2 linked regions of the Struthio camelus genome follow. The protein of the gene in region 1 binds, or shares a complex with, the protein of each later gene. Links are inferred from orthologs where the notes say so. Each region holds a gene or a part of one and is shown on either strand. Other genes may lie near its edges.

Region 1 (8,524 bases):
CGTGTTGTCCAACATTAAAGTGAAGAGCAGGATCAGAAACAAGTAAAACAGTGTCACTTGGAAACTGCAGGAGTGAAAAAAAAGAAGCTTTTATGCGTGAAGTTTTTATGACTGAGACTGGTGCAAAATATCTGCATGGGACAGACGAAAGGGGAACGTGCTGATTCCTAGAAGCCCCACAGTTGAGAAGTAAAGTTTTGTGGGATGTCTTCACTTCAGAGAGTTTCAAAATGTGTAATGGAGGTGCATGGCAACTGGCCAGTCCTTACCTGATCCAAAATAACTTCTGTGTGCCAAATATCCTGGAGATGTGAGGAACTACAGCACCAGCTGCTTACACCTACCAATCTACTCCTATTGCACCAAATGAATAGCTAAAGTAAACAGCCTATGCTATTTTATTCGTTGCTCATAGACAGAACAAAAACTGTAATGGGTTATGATGCACCATACTTTTCCAGGAAAATCTCTTCCACAGCATTCTGAAAGCACAAATTCCATATTTAAATCAGATTCATGGCACCATTTTTATCGACTTTGAGAGACAGATTCAGAGAAAAAGGATTATCGAGCTGAGACTAATAGCTGCATTGAACATGCTCAAATTCACACTAGTTAACATTTTAAATAAGAAGTGCATCTGCGGGGGTGGCGGGGGGACTGTATTACTTAAATATGCCTTACTTTACTACGTAGTGCCACCTAGGGGTTAAAAGCTTTGAAAATGTTGAGTAGCAAGGCATAGGAAGCCATATTAATAGCAGAGATAATTTGTGGTGTTAAACCATCTGCATTTTGGAATTTACTACGCAAACAGAGTGGGTAAACTTCAGCGGAGTTTTCCATACTGTTGTATCTGACAAAAGCATTGTAACTTTCCCAGCTCCCTTTGCAGCAGGTCATAGTCTTCCTTCTCTTCTGTAGCCCAGCAGTGCCTCGGGATGTCAGAAACCCTGGTTTTCTCCTCTACAGTCCAGATCTTTCTCATACGCAGCAGTGGAGAGGTTATCTGCCACTGATAGGCTGGGTAGGGGATTGCTGTCCTGCCATTTTTGGGTCTACAAGAACTTAAAAAAGAGCCTTGACAAGTCATTTGCCTTGTGAGTCCAAAATCAGCGAGGAAACGCAGGCCTACTAAGTCTAGTTTGCTAAAGGAAGGTACTGTAAGAAGGAGGAGTGGGATTCTGGAACTGTCCTCTGCCTGCGAATAGATAGGATTTATTCCTCCTGAAACTGCTTTTTTTTTTTTCCACTTACACGTTACAAATTACAATTGGCTCCCTTTGATGTAGCCTACAAATGGGCAAAAGAAACCTAGAATAATCTGGACCATTTTTGTTTTTCCAAACTGAGTGTTGGGACTGAAAACCTGAACTGGATTATTTCTTTCCTGAAAAACTAAAACTCATGTTTTAAGAGAAATGTTTTGTTTCACACAAAACGTTCTTCTCTCTCAAATGGTATTTGATTTTATTCTGGATCTTCCACAGCAGGTGGCGTACCTGCCACACTGAGACCAGAGATCATTTTTACCTGCTCACTCGAGAAGAGCTACTATATACCTCAGGCAGAAGGCAAATTATACATGCATGTATTAAAGGACGTCTCTCCCCTACCTTTACAGGAAGATAACGAAGCTATCAGAACATTTAATTTTTGAAGGAAAAATATCAAGAAAATCTTTGATTGCATGACTCTATGCTTGAACTGCAATGCTAATAAAGGGCACGGGTCTTTTCCCTGCCCTTCAGCACCCTCCACATACATAAACATTAAATTCAATAATCATTAATCAGAAAGGAAGAAAAAACTCCTAGCTTTATTTGTCCTGTGTTCTTTTTTTAAATAAATCATATTGAAAAAAGAGGCCAGGCATTAAAAATAATTTTGCCTGAGACATAGAAATGGAACAAATACTTTGGTTTTGGAAACAAAAGTCAAAAACTTGCCGAAACAATGCTGCAAGCTATAGCAAAGATTGTCGTAATTACCTCTCAGGTAAACTGGCCCCAGAGTAAATTCACAGCGTGATGGATAAAGTAAACTCTTGTGACTCTCCTCTAGATATCATGATGTAGACACCAAGAGAAGCTGTATATCAGTGCTGCTATACTTGAAGCTGAATGAGCTTTAACAGAACTATCAATAAAAGCTATAGCAGGGAGCAGTAAATTCATGCACAGCGTACTCTGGAACATGCAGATTACTGTTTAGACACTGGGGACAAATACTATACGAAAGTCTTGAGAGAGGGAGACGTTCACATCAGGTCTACATAAGACATTTTTGTTCCGTCAGGAAGGGTGGACGTCTGGCAACTTTGTTATACTGATAAAAGTCATAGGGAATATATAGCTATACTAGTAGAAAAGTCCTTTTCACTTTATAGGTTCTATTGCTTACCAAGCAAGAATATATCAGCATAAATAAATATTTACACTAGTAAATATATACACATTAGAAAGACTTGCTATTACAACTTTATTGGCAAATGTTCTCTAGTACAAATATGACCTAATGGCCTGGACCAGCAACTATTTCTTGCAAAAGGATATGCAACAAATTAGAGAACCAGCAAACAAAATTTGAAATATTCAGAATTTCAGTTATGAAATAAAAAATGTTTTGCCCTGCTCTTCAAAACTCCTGAAATAATGTTTCCAAAATCTTTCATGGTAAAGGACTCAGATGGTTAAAGCCATGATGGTTCAAGGCATTCAGTGCTGGCCTGCCTAAAGTGCGTCTGTTTTTTTCCAACTGTACCCCTTAGTTAAACAAAATGTTACTTTCCTTATAGACCTCACCTCTCTGTTCTGCCCCACAGTATAGTATAGTAGCTGGATGCCTATGACAAACAGACTGGTAAAAAGAAATCCTTCTTCCACTAAACTAGTTTTGCCATCGACTTCTCCAAGGACAAACTTCATCCTCAAACCTTAATCTAATGTGCAAGAGACATACAACAGGTGCAGTATGTTTTAGACAGTCTGGTGTCTCTTGACAAATGCTGCCAGCTGGTAACAGGGTCACAACCATGTAAGGTAGAATATATTAAGCAGAATCAGGTATATCCACACTGACTGTCCCAAACAGAAATGCAAGTAGATGTTTAACAGGAATAAAATTGGGGAAGGGGGGGGAGAGGTCTTGGAGAGCTACATCTGGAGAAATAATATGGAAAAATACAGGAAATTATACCCATATTAACCAATGAGAAAAGTATTTGAAGCAGTGTTTTTCAGGAACCCCACTGCGACACAGGGAAAGCACACAACATAATGATGCAAAGTGACATTCACAGAGGGGCAATTAAGGCTAGCTGTCCCCGTGTCTCAGGAATTTGACTCCTAGGTACAGAAACACAGTGAGCCTTTTGGTGCCTGAGACAGCACCCCCCCTCCGTTTTCCTAACCCCATCCCAGCTCCCACGAACGTATATAGTGGGGGTTCAGAAGTGGAAGCGGTTCCCCTAGGCCTATCCACAGGACAGCCCTACCTGAGAGGCAGGACAACACATGACTGCTGAGCTTACAAAGATGTACCTTAGCAGAGATGAATGCTTACATACTACACAGAGTATTCACAACTCATTAATAAATATTTAAAAATCTGTATAACTATTTTGGATGCTGCAAACGTCATTTATCCCATGTCTCGTACTTTAATTACAAAGATAATGGTAACAATAAAAAATGCTAATTGGAGTCTTTTAAATCCGAGGGGGGGTTACTTTGCAGCACAGCACACTGAATTTCAAGGACACTTCAGATTCATTGTGTGAAACAAGGCTTCCCTGGGGTGTAGAGGGAGGGAAGACTCCCGGCTGGATTAAACTGGTACTCAAACATCAGTTTACAAAGGAATTTAGGATGCAGACACAATGGCACCTTATCTACCTTAATTACTATGGTGATGAGCACTTTAACAACACTTAAGATAGGCTGATAATCCATATAAGACCATATAAAGTAGTCAATATTTTGAAGTGATTAATTCGAAGACAAACTGAAAGTCAAGATAGATTATTTCAGGAAAATCTGGTTATTTGATGCACTTTTAGGAAAAGAATGAAAATGCAGCATGAGTTACAAGTAAATAATGGGAATTATCAAAGTGGAGTTTCATGCTGGGATGCTGAGGGGAAAATCCCTTTAGTGTGCTCCCCATCATCTACATGGAAACCAGCCAGGGTTGGGGTTTGCCTTCTACCTCCAAGGTAGTTTGCTGTTGTTGAACAGGATCTACCGCTTCTCAAAACAGATGTATTTGAGCTCAGACCCAAACCCTCAGTTTTAGAGGGCCGTGTAGTATGTTTCCGTCCCAGCATCTCAAAAATTTTACTCTGAAGGACGGCGCTCTGCTGAGGAAGAGGCCGGGAAGGGAATTAACAGGTACTTTTTTAAAAATTACTTTGCTTTCCTAATAAGGAACATCTTTTCTTCATACCAGATCAGTGACATTTGAAAAGTCCAAGCCTTACACTGTTATCGGGATTGGCTGCTCAGGAAACGATCCTAACATGTCTAGACCAAGGGCGGGGGGCGGGGGGGAGGTTTAAGACGCAGCAGCCAATACACCCACGGACGGCTGCGGAAAAAGCAGCTGCAAAACCGAAGCAGCCTGTTGAAACGCTGTCCCTCTAACGCAAGGAGACGTCCCCCGTTTGGGCCTTGCGGGGACCGTTAGACGGCGCGTTAGCGAGGCCGAGCCGGGTCCCAACGGCCGCCAGGGCCCCCCTCCGCCCCGCTGGGGTAAGAAACAGGCCGGGCTGTTTTCCAGGCCCGCGTCCGTCCCTGGAGCGCCCCCGTCACCCCCCAACGGCCGCCAGCCGTAACATGGCGCCCCGACGCAGCCCGGCAGCGCCGGGGGGGGGGGGGGGGAGTGTGTTGGGGGGGGGTGGCAGTGAGTGCCGCGACGTGATGCGCATGCGCCACCCCGCCCCGCGGCCTCCCCTCGCGGCGTGGGGGCGGGGCGCTGCACGGCGTCCTGACGTCAGAGGCGCGAACCCCAGCAACGGGCGGACGTCGCGAGGCCGCCGGGAACCCGGAAGCGGCGGGCGAATAGGGAGCGAGTGGCGCAGTTAGCGGGGCGGAGGCGCGGCGCGGGGCGCTGAGAGTCCGCGGCGGAAAAGTAGTCCCGGGGGAGGAGGGGGGGGTGGTCCGCGAGCGCGGCTAGTGCTGCTGGGACGGGGTGGGGGAGCCTCGGCCCCGCACCAGCGCTCTCGGACGGAGCTCGGAGGCGGCGGAGATGGCCGCGGACAAGGCCGCGGGTGAGTGCGGGGCGAGCCGCCGTCGGGCCGCTCCGCGCGCGGGGCACCTGGGCCGCGCGGGGCGGAAGGAGACGCGGCCAAGGCCGCGGCGTCTCGTCCCCGTGTCCTTCCGCCGAGGGAAGTAGCGCGCGGGCGGCGGCGGCGGCGGCGGGGCGGCCGGCTGGCGGGCTTGCTCCGCCGGCGGGGCTGCCTGCCGGGGTCGCGGCGGCGCCCCGAGGCCTCGGCGGTTACTAACCCGAGGGCGGCGGGGGGACGGGGCTTCCCCCGGGGCTGAGTAACCGCAACAGAAGTTGCGGCTGGCTTAGTCTGTTCAACGGGGGCCTTCCGACGGCGTTGGGGGGCGATTTCGAAGAAGGCGACCACAATAAACCAGACTTACAATTACTGTATGACTTGCTGGCGCTGATAGCTACTGCTCTTCCTCTCCCGTAAGACTGCGCTTGATGCAGGAAGCCCTCCTGGCTGCGAGGTTCCTTCCCTCAGGTGGTGGCTGGGTGGGGATGAAGTGGGCAATGTGAGGGAAAGCCAAAAGGATCTGCTTGTGTCCTCGAGTCCTTCAGCTGGGCTTCTGCCGTGGGAGCGTTTCTTGGAATTGCCTCTGAAAATTGTCTTTCAATATGCTAAGTGTCACACTTGCTCTCAGTATCTGAAGACCACCGTGGGAAAGATTAGTGTACCTTGCTAAGTGATGCGTATTAAACCGTCCTGCATTTATTTAAAAGAAGCTCACTGTGATTATAAACTACCAGGAAAGTTTGGCGTTAGGAGATTATATATTTCCCCTTTCTTGGAAATGGTGAAGTCAGGAACTTGTCTGTTGTACTAGGTTAGAAGAAAAATACTTGTCCAAATGAAGCAAACACATTGGCTAGATAGTCTGCATATCTGCATGTATGTGCCTATAGCAGAGTGAGTTATGAATAACTTCTGAGTGAAAAATGTTTCCTTCTTAGTGTGCAGTGTTAAATCTAATATGTTGAGATTAGTAGCACAATGCTTCATAGAAAAATGTACTTTCTGAGCCACAAACTGTTGTTGTCTCCTTAGAAGGGCTGAATGCTTTGGCTGCTCTTCATAGCCATCAAAATGTTGTTGGAGTGAGACACCTGTGATAGATTCCTCTCTTTCCCAGGAGGAGATTATCCCCCTGCCTCTAGAGTTTGGAAATATAAAATAATTCGAGAGATGCTCTGGCATTCAACAGCACAGTTTATACAAGGTGTAATTTAAAGGGCCTGGAAACGAGAGGGCTCAAGAGCAGCAATCCTTGGAGATAACAGGTAGGAGAAGGATAACGATTGCAGTCACTGTCCTTTGGGTCTGTGTATGTGGGAGATGTGACTTCTCATTGCTTATATGATGTTGTGTCAGCAGGCCAAAGAGGAGGACAATCTCCCTTTGCAGGTGGCAATCTCATGCTCTTCCTTGTTCTCCTCTAGTAGAACGAGTTCCCCACAAAGCAGATTCTGCTGTCCACCTGGTGCAACTTCTCCAGGAGGAGCAACTACCTGCTGATGCAAAAAGAAATGTCTCCCTGACACAGTGTTTCTGCTGCTCAGCCCCATGTGATACAGGTTGCTAACCAAGAAGATAGTTTCCTGACTTGCTTTCTTTTACATCCAACCCAGTGCAGCAGCTTTCTCCAGATCAAAATGTGAGCAGATAATTTTTACATCCTTTCCCTTTTCCTGGATGTCATTTCTGCTCCTCGCCACTAGTCTGAGAACTATGAGTTTTAGAGATGCTTTGTACTTGAGAAGGTTAGACAACGTGAAAAGTGTAAAAACAAACAAAACAGCTCCACGTGTAGATAAAGTTTGCATAGATAAATTGTGTCCTGTCGTTTGTAAAACAGAGAATCTACACTGTTTCAAATAGTTCGGCTGACATTTGTAGCTGCTCTACAAATAGGAGCATGTTGATAATGACTAGCATGCCTTGTACCTCACGGACCACGTGCTTCTACAAGAACGCCAAAGATCACTAGATCTAAGTAGCATGCTGTATGTTTTGCCAGTGAACCATGTACTTTCGTTTTCAAACGCCTCCGGAAGTATTGACATAATTATTTGCAAGCAGTTGATAGACGTTTGCAGTCAGGATAATAAGAGTACTTTTTCTCCTAAATTTATAAGTGGGATTGGAGGGTTCTTTCTGGTATCTGGGGCAGCCTTACTTTAGATGTCTTGTTTGTGAGGTATCTCAATAATTAAGATCAACCAAAGCAATAGATCCTGGTTTAAACAAGTTTGGGAGGATTACAGTAGATTAGAGGAAGTCGATCAGTTTGGAGCCATAAAACTAACCTTATGGGAGAAAGGGAAGGCCTGTTTTTGCTTAAAATAGTCTCCAATTTCATACTAGGAGACTTAAGAGGTATAGTGAAATCTATTTGTAGACCTGTTGTGTTCTTTCCTAGGAAATAGGTGTAAAGCAGATATTCAGGAGTGCTTTTCTTAGACAACTAGCTTGCAGTCTCTTTGACCTAACTTTCTCTTAATTGAAGAAAAGGCGCTTTGCTTCGGGAATCAGACTTTCATAAGCCCAGTTTCTTTGAGATGCCTGTTTTGTGAACTTGCATACCATAATTACTTATGTGGGTTTTCATGGCACTATAACAGGTTTGTGAAAGTGCTTATAGTGATGTGACAAGTAGCTGTCAATGACATCTTCAGCATTATTCAACTCGCTGTGTGAACCCTGACTCCATGGAACATTGCGTAAACATGTTTTTATTGCATGTAGTGGTTTCTGAAAACTAGAACCTCCCTTTTCATACGGGTGCATTCAGTACCTAGTTCTGAGACAGTACGGAACTTTTGTCTTGATTAAAACTGTGGGGGACTTCTTGACCTGACTGACAGTTATCAACGCTCAGATGTTTCAGATTCTCAACTCTTTGCTTTACTGTTATTTTTACTAGCGTAATCTGAAAGGCGTACTGAGGAAGTAAAGCAGACAATACAATTTTCAGCATGAAAGTTAGAGAGCAAATACATTTACTTAATTAACTGCCATGCTGGAGTTCCTCAGAGTGCTAGCTTTCTGTTTGGCTGTACAACCACAAGATTTAGAGCAGGAATTGGATCTGTTGTATTCTAAGCTTGAAGAAGAGGTACCTTTTGTTCCCTTTTTCTTTAATTATAGAAAGCCTTGGCTTGTCGAAGGCTCCCCTTCTGCCTTTCCTTCTTAAGGAAAAGGCGATGCGAGTGGGGTTGATCAGTGTCTTGGTCAGATTTTGTAGCAGGTGCATGT
Region 2 (8,825 bases), on another chromosome or scaffold:
GCTCCCGTCTTATATTCTGTGAGTTTGGGAAAGAATTAAAATAATGAACACATTTATTGTCCTCCTCCTTTTGAAATAATCAAATTACGACAGGAGTCTTACTTAGGCAAAGCCTTCCCATTTGAAATAGTGCTGCCATGTTTGCTTTTCCTTCCTCTCTCCAAAATCTCAGTATGTGCTACATTTATTGAGTCACATGTACAGAATAAAATTTTATGTTACTTATACTAAAGCAAGGTAAATCTTGATTGATCATGTTTTTCCCCATCTCACTACCTACTCTTTTTTTGTTGGATAATGTTGTCTTTTCTGACTCAGAATACACCAAATACATTAGCAGAAGCATTCATGTAACCATGGCTGCTTTGGCAAACCAAACATTCCATCCAACCCCTTGGCATTAAACTCATGCTGGCATGCCAGACAGCCCAGAATCAACCAATGAAGAGTTTGGCTGGCTGGAGCCATTTCAAAATATTACACAGAACTGATGCTGTTTAAAAGAGTTTCTTTTAGGTTATTTCTAACTAGTTAATACAAAATTTGATTCAAACCAAATTCTCACCTATAAAGTAATAATAATTATTTTGCTAGTCACACTCTCAATGTAAAAGGGAAAACATAAACTAGTCAGTAAAGAACTGTAATACAAAATACAATTTTTATTCTCAAGTACTTCTTCATTTCTCCAGCAACTGTTCATGAAGAGATCTGTTTTCACTGAACTTAACCATTCCAGTTATCAGAAAAAGATAGTCTGTCTAAGCCAGGTTTTAAAATGCTTGACGTAAGCTGAAAGGGAAACCTTTAGAAAGCTTTAGAAAAAGGAACTGCCATATTTTTGAGGTCTGTTTCAAAATTCACATTATTGTTTATATCCCACATCTGTTGTCCCCCTATATTTCCTCTTGCCAAGACAGTCCCAAGCTTCGACTGCACCGGTGTCCACTTCTCCTTGTACTTACCCAGGATGTATGTCTTGTTCTGACACCAAACAAACAGTCAGGCTGCTGGCAGGTGCAGAAGCTGACCAACAGGATATGTCTGTAATGATGGACTGACTGCCTAGCAGTTGCTTGGTCTGCCTTTTTCCCTCTTGCTTGAGTCTTCTATTTTAGAACTTACTTCACTGGAATCCACCCTTATAGTGCACAGGCAGTGGAAAACAACCTTGCCCGAGGGGAAAAAAAAAAAAAAAAAGGCTATAACTATTTGTGAAAATATAGAACTTACAGAAACGAAAACTTAAGGACCACCTACCTGGTCACTCCAAAAGTTGCATTTTAGCCACGCTATATGGACAGACACAGGACTATATTTCGTGTCTGGTGGGTGTCCTATCGTGCCAAGCACCACACGGATCTGAAGGCAACCAGAGTACCTGCAAGAGCTCACAATCACATTTTAAATAGATACATGACATTGCCTTAAAATTATTTCCTTGAAGTTTCTGTCATATATTTTCAACCTACTCTGCCCCTGAACTCAGGCTGCCCATTCTTTGCTCACCTCCTGCTGGTTGCAGCCTAGCAGAGTTCCTCTGTGTCTATTCAGAGCCCAGAGTTCAACTCCTCACCTTTCACTCCCGCTGCGGAAACTTTATGAGGGCTTAGGCAAAGGCGACAGGGGTGTGTTTCCAATCGAGAGCTGGCTGTCCCCTCCTAGAGAAGTCATGTGAAGCCAATGCCATGTCACTGCTAGTACAGGCAGTGTTCCCTTTGCATATGCACACACTGTCACTCATTTAAGCATTTGGAATGTATCTCTGCAGGTGAGAGTTTTCCACTGAGAGTTAATGCTTATATCTGGGAATAAAAAAGCCAGCTACACCTTAAAGATGAGTATCTTTTATAATGCACTAATTCATGTTTTGAGCACAAAACAAAGCGTCAGTGCAATTGAGTAAGTCAAAAGTGTATTTGTTAAAAACAGTACGGGTTATTGGGGAATCTGGTAAAAAAAAAAAGCAGTTCAGTTTTCAATATAAGTAAGTGTTGCACTAACTCTGTTGTTACAGTGTGTTTCAAACCAGTTACACCAGTTACAGTATTGGAACTACCTATAAGCAGAAGATGCAAATAGCTTAGAATGTGCTCAGTTCTGTTTAAATAAGATGTTTAAAGACCATGAAGTCTGTAATTATGGTATTACAGGTAGCAAGATGTAATTTGCAGTAGCATTTGTCTTCATTATGCAGATGTGGCCCCAATACACGTTATTTACCTAACATACAGTGCCCTATTATGAACCAAACTCTGAGAAGGGAGGGTGTTACTACTCACCATAACTTTCCAGATTTATTTTCCCACACAACAAAAAATAAGGAGTATTTCCTCTCCCTCCTAGTTAAACTTGTCTGGTGCATTCATAGGCGAAGCAATATACAGTGCTATTTTGTGAGCAACATCTCAGCTAGCCACGGTTAGAGCTGCGGAGAGATCTGCAAGCATGAGTAATGACAGTGTCTTGCTGTCTGTGCCTGGTTTCTTCTACCTCGCACTATACCTATGCTGTTACCAATTAACTTTTTCTGGAAGGAGAATATTCCCAGAACTCCCCTCCCAACATCACACTGTTTGTCCTCTTAGCGCTAAAACCATTTGCTGTTGCTTCATTTCAGATTTAAGACTGTGTTATTGTTTGCATTGACGCTTTCTCTTGACTAATTCTAACTATTTCTTAGTGACAAAAGAGTTTTTAATTCTTAGCAGTTGCTCCTAATTGTTATTTAGCATACAGCAGACTCAACAAGAAGGAAAGTGATTCCTTCAAACTATTTACACATACACAGAAGAGGAAGTGGAAAATGGCATTTCACGAGAGGGGTGCCATGTGAACGTTGTCCTGAGCTGATACTTATTTGGAATGGCTCTTCACTAGGAGAACTGTTCACCCAATACGCAAAAGTAGGTGAAAAGCCAGGGAGTTTTGCAGACCCCAGAGTTTCTTTTAAACCTGTTCAAATCAGACACAGGTTACAGCTGAAAGCTCTACACCCAATAGGAACAGACAACCAGTATTTTAGTCATATGAGGACAAAAATGTCATTTACTTTTTGGACTGCAAGTCTGGGTCTAGTCCAGGTTGGAGGTTATCTAAAAGCTGCTTCTATTTGTTGGTTAGCCTGGGCCCTGCACTGGTATCTTCATCACAAAACCCTCCAGTGTTACTGCCACCTTTGCCGAGGCTCAGCTTTGAGGAGTGCAAGAAGACTGCTTTCCTCTCAGTGGAAAGGATTTTTGATCAGACACTTCATAAAATAACTTCTCTTTGTTCACTCTCTACAGTTTTTGTAGTAGTCACTGTCTGTTTTGCTGTTTGTAAAAAATATTAGAAGGAGAAACACTAGGAATTAGCTTAAAGGATAGTATAAAACCATGCTAATAATTCCACTAATGACAAAGATGAATCCTGGAGTTCGTGAACCTCAGCTCATCATTAATTCCCTGTATACTAAGCTATAGTTCTAACCATCTGTGAGGGCATGTGTGTGCCACCTAATACTTGTTGAAACACCTTTGGAACAATAGAAGTTTTAGGAAAATGGAAATGATGGTTACAGCTAAAACATGTTCAGCAATACTTTTATCTTTTAACTCTGAAGTCATGTATTTTAAGATTTCCATATATAAGCTGTCTACTCTTTGTGCTGCTGAAAAGGGCATGATCCGGAATATACAGCTCATATTGACTAGTACAAAAATGTTGAGCTAAAGCCTGTCAATCCTCCTTGCAGCGTACTACATCTACACATGGACTGGTTTTGTTAGTGTCGTCTTAACAGAGCTGTATAGAGGGTGGGAAGCCTGTTCAGGAACCTGTTCTGGAGTGATGAATCTGAAAGCAAGTCTGGTAACTTCCAAATATAAGAACTATGGGACTGACATATTTTAAGAGCAGTCTGCCTTTTCCAGCTATTTTTCCTTTGTATGCAGCTGAAATTAGCCATGATGAAAAACACAAATTCTGTTCTCCTTGAGCAAAAGGTCTGTTTCAAACTACCGCCAGCACTCAAACATCCTAGCTTTTTTTTCTAACCTAGTTGCAAACTGGCAAACATATTAAGCATAATTTATCCCAACTGATTTTTTTCCTGCAACATATTTTCGATTAGGGTAACAAAGCATGCACATTTCTGTGTCCTGAGAAGATTCTTCCTCCCTTTTTGCCTGGATTCAACATAAATTCAAGAGCTGGGCTTATGAGCAAGAAAAATAAAGTACATACCTTACTCTGAACTCTTTAAGTGAAAAAAAAAACAAACAAACAAAAACCAAGAATCTAATTCCGTATTTATGGCGTGCTGCAATCTATCCCGATGTATTTACCTGATAACAACTTAGGTTTCTTTGCCCAAATTCAAGTGACCATAGGAAGAAAGGTGATTGCTTTCTGCTAGTCTAGCATGTTGCATAATATATGCATTATATGACCTAGAGACTGCAGGTCTAAGGTGAGATGGCAAAACAGTAACTATCATCTACGAAGATAAGCTTTGAATTAAAATGAAGTTCAGTAAATACTGCTTGATGTCCGTAGATGCTGACACCATCAAGGACACTTGCTAGAAAGCAGCAGTATTCAAATAAACTTATCCTAAGAGGTCTTACATTTCTGCTGAGGTATGAATACTCAGCCTGGGACACCGAAACATGTCGGACACGAAAGACAGTGACTCCCTCGCCCCGCCAGATAATTGTATCAGAATAGTAAGGAGGTAGCCGAGGTTCAAGAGGACAGACTCCAAGGGAACCCAAATGACAGGCAGGAAACAATTCTGCAGCAGTAGCAGAGCTGCAGAATTCTAGGTTGCAAACCTGCCCAAGAAGGCTGGCAGCCCGGACGAAGCGAGGTACTACCTCCGCTTAATTGTAACTACACAGGCTTCCAAATACATTGCCTGCCTGCCGGCAGCATCGGCCAGCAAAGCAGGAGAGCTGGCAGCGCCGTTACGCCAGACGCGTTACATGAGGCTGCTTTACCTGACGGTAAAGCTCCTGTTGCTAATGTAACCTAAATGGCATTTAAGGGGGCGGCCCGTCCCCTCGGCGAGGGCAGCTGTTTCTCTCGGGGCTCTGCCACCCGGCAGGGCCCGCGGGCCGCGGCCGCCCCGACCGGGGCCGGCGCCGAGCTAACGAGGCGGCGCGGCCCGAAGGGGTCGGTCCCTCAGGGAGAGATCACCTAACGCCTCCCCCACCCTCACCCCCCGGGCGGGCTTTGGACTCGCCCGACGCGTCCGGCGCGGGGAGCTCGGGCGAGCCCATTAGCTGCCCCGGCAGGGGGAGGGAAGACAGGCGACTTGTCACAAGGGCAACGGCTCCGCGCAGGCGCAACCCGGGCGGAGCCCCGCGTGGCGCTCCGGGCTCCCCCCGCCCCCCTCCCTTCCTCTCCGCGGGAGCGCGCGCCACACGCGCGCCCGGCCACACACCCCGCCGCGCGCCCTAGCCCGTTTCCCATATCTCTCGCGAGAGCGGGCGGTGGCCGGGGGCAGCCCGGAAGTTCCGCCCCTCCTGGTGGCCGCATCGCGCCTGCGCGGAGGCGAGTGGCCCGGCCCAAGCTTCCGGGCAGGTAGCGGGGCGGGGGGAGGGGGCGGGGAGGCGATGGGGAGCGCCGGAGCAGACGAGTCGCGGGGGTGAGCGCGGGCTAGAGCGGCCGGGCGGCCCACAGGAAGAGGAGCGGCGAGGCCCAGCTCCCCGGAGCCGCGAGCGGCGGGGCCTGGCGGCGCCAGCAGGTGCGGGCGGGGCGGCCCGGGCGCTGCGGGAGGCCCCCAGCGCCGGCAGAGCTCGGGGCGCCGGGATCTCCCCTCCCCTCCCCTCCCCTCCCCTCCCCTCCCTGTGCCCCCCCGGTGGCGGCGGGCCCGGCAGCGGCCTGAGAGGCCTGGACGGCCGGGCGGGCCCGGGGCGGCAGCGCGGCCTTCGCGGCTGAGCCCGTCCGCTGCCGGGAAGCGGCTCGGCCCGGCGGCGGCTGACGGCCCCCCGGCCGTGAGGCCCGAGCCATTAGCAGCCGCTCGCAGAAAGGCTCTGGCAGTTGCCTCACGTCCCTCTCCCCGCTGTAGGTACCCTCAGCTAACTTCGTGCGAGCATACCGGCAGTTTGCTGCAGTACCTGAGCCTTAGCTGCGTATTTCTGTAATAATTTTGCCCGTGTGGTTTCAGAAAGTGATAGACAAGCAGTCATGCCAAGTGTGATTTATCCTAGGCGTTGTACTGCTGAAACGGCATTAGTATAAACTGGAATACCTTTCTTTTTCAGTGTTTCCTGAATTACATCAGAGAAGCATCTGCCTTTATAAGTGTCCTTTGTAAAGCAATCTATTACTTGTCTTCAAAACTATCCCAATAGCACCTTGGTGGAAGCTAAGCAAAATTAAGTGTGAGGATTCCCTGTTTGTGCATCTTATGCCTAGAGTTTCAGAGTTTATGCCAGGAGAAGATGAAAGGGAGAGGCACTATTGACTTGCATAACTGGACTCTATTAATTGTATGTCTACTCTTGTAACACAAACGGATGGTTTAGTTTTTCTTCTCTTTCAGCATGTTTAAAGGAAGTGATAAAAGCAAGGAAACAGTTAGTGTAAAACTTTAGCTTTGCTATTTGAGGTTAAGAATAGAAACGTGACTTACTCTGCTAGTGCATTCATTCAGATACCTAGATCTTTCTTCGTGTAAAGTACTGTATGTTTCTCTCTTTAATGCAGCAAACTGATTAGATCACACAGCTTGCAATTCTACGCTGTCAACTGAATTCAACATCAGCTGTTTTTACTACAATCCCTGCAAGATGCCAGCAGCCCTTGCAGAGAACAGCCAAGTTATCTGTGAAGTATGGGCAAACAATCTGGAAGAAGAGATGAGGAAAATTCGAGAGATTGTTCTAAGTTACAGTTACATTGCAATGGTAAGCATGTTATACTTGACCTTATTGCCACAGTCAGGGGATTTTTTAGGGGCAGGAGAATAAATTGATTCTTGAACCAGAAATGGTGTTTTCCTGTGACCAAACTGAGCTAAAAGTTAAGTAGTGAAAACTTAGAAAGCTGTTCAGTTATAAGGACTTCATGGATTTTGGTAAACATAGTATTCCGTACAGATTGAATGAGAGGTGGGGAAGTGAAAACCACTTTCAACATCTGAAATCATTTAATATTTAACTATACCCATTGCATAAACTAATGCAGTCTCAAATTAAAGAGATCAGATGTACAATTGGGTTTAAATCTTCAGATTTCACTGGTATACTTGTCCTCTGAATGCCTGTTTCCTTTTGGCTATGGGAAATGCCATGATACTGTAGGACAAAAGGCCTGCAAGTTGCAACTTGGTGGCTGGTAGGAATGCCTCCTTTTTTTTACTGCGGTCAGATGCTGATTCTTATGGAATAGATTTTTCTGGCTGCAGGTGTGGCAATGTGTTCGAAGAGTTTTATTTCAGAAGACCAAGGATCTTAATGAGAACTCTAGTTTCAAGGTGAAGGGAGAGATGGGAGGAATGGTTTCTTTCCTGCTCTTAAAAATAGGTATCTGCTCAGCAGGAGCCAGTTAATTACATAACTGTTTCTAGTTATTGTACTATGTCAACTTTGCTTAGGGAGTCTAAACTTCAAGACATTCGAAGTCCTTAATAGAAGTGTGGCATAAAAATACATATCCCTGCAGAGTATATGTTATTCAAAAATGAAACACTTAAAATCCTGTAAATGTGATTCAGTTTTGTTGTCATCAGTTGGTGGGAAACAAGCTTTCTTGCTTCTTTGCTCTGTTTGATGTTAATGAAAGCATGTTTAGATAGATCTATGCTAATGGCTGGACTGATATCATATATGAATAACTGGGCAGTAAGACTGGACACAAAAAGATTAGGCTAGGAGGAAATGTTGTCAGATGCATAATACTGGATTCTTTATGAAAGTTTTTGGATATGTTCTCTATCAAGCTGGTCAGAAGTTATGTGAATAAATTTGAGTGTAAAACTAGTCTAGAAGTTAGAGGTTTAGTCAAGATAGCACGCAATCACTAGCCAAGTAAAATGTTTTTTATGTAACACACAGTTTCTCTTTTGTTGAAGTCTGTTTTGATTGGCAGTAGCTTTTGTTAATTTAGGTGTTGGTTGTTTTTCAAAAACAGTGAAGATTATCACTAGCTGGACTATCACATTAAGACTGTGAGTGCTAAATTTAACTTGTATTTAGAACGTAAAAGAACACTGAATAAATATAAAATGCCCATTTTAGTGTATTTAGGGAAAATGAGAGGATTAGTCTTTCAGGAGAGAGATGTTTAGATTATGCAGTAGTGCATATTGGGTGATTTTATAACTTTTTTTTGCTCTGGAAGGAAACAACACTGAAAGAGGATACCTGGAATGAATGAATGAATATAATGATTAATGAATTGTTTAGTTTTTTTTTTTCCCAGTAGCTTAAAATACTTTTTTTCCTTTCTGCCTTCTATTATGTAAGTAATTTCATAGAAAAATGTACAGATTCAGCGCTGGGACCTAAAAGTGTGGAACTGAACGTAAGACTGCTAATAAAGGAAGTGATGTAATTTTTTCCCCCCCCCCTCCTTTACTAGGACACAGAATTTCCTGGAGTTGTTGTAAGGCCAATTGGTGAATTCCGCAGTTCCATAGACTATCAATACCAGCTCCTTCGTTGTAATGTTGACCTTCTGAAAATTATCCAGCTGGGCCTAACTTTCACAAATGAGAAGGGAGAATATCCTTCCGGAATCAACACCTGGCAGTTTAACTTCAAATTCAACCTTACGTGAGTCTTCTGAGCTAGGGAACGATCACCTATTCTCTGCTGATGCACTGATGTTTTCCT

The links.
Region 2: CNOT10 (region 1) and CNOT8 share a complex: the UniProt entries of both Homo sapiens proteins name them as parts of the CCR4-NOT complex. The link is inferred for Struthio camelus from reciprocal best matches to the Homo sapiens genes CNOT10 and CNOT8.

Annotation. Positions count from the first base shown.
Region 1 is NC_090943.1:47,701,569-47,710,092, forward strand, and holds the start of CNOT10 (CCR4-NOT transcription complex subunit 10), read left to right. Parts: upstream 1-4,957; 5' UTR 4,958-5,247; coding exon 5,248-5,269; intron 5,270-5,423; exon of another isoform or gene 5,424-5,697; intron 5,698-6,401; exon of another isoform or gene 6,402-6,549; intron 6,550-6,708; exon of another isoform or gene 6,709-6,923; intron 6,924-8,524. UniProt on the Homo sapiens protein: Component of the CCR4-NOT complex which is one of the major cellular mRNA deadenylases and is linked to various cellular processes including bulk mRNA degradation, miRNA-mediated repression, translational repression during translational initiation and general transcription regulation.
Region 2 is NC_090954.1:12,000,018-12,008,842, reverse strand, and holds the start of CNOT8 (CCR4-NOT transcription complex subunit 8), read left to right. Parts: upstream 1-5,391; 5' UTR 5,392-5,568; intron 5,569-5,582; exon of another isoform or gene 5,583-5,731; intron 5,732-5,865; exon of another isoform or gene 5,866-6,051; intron 6,052-6,696; 5' UTR 6,697-6,779; coding exon 6,780-6,896; intron 6,897-8,571; coding exon 8,572-8,765; intron 8,766-8,825. UniProt on the Homo sapiens protein: Has 3'-5' poly(A) exoribonuclease activity for synthetic poly(A) RNA substrate. Its function seems to be partially redundant with that of CNOT7.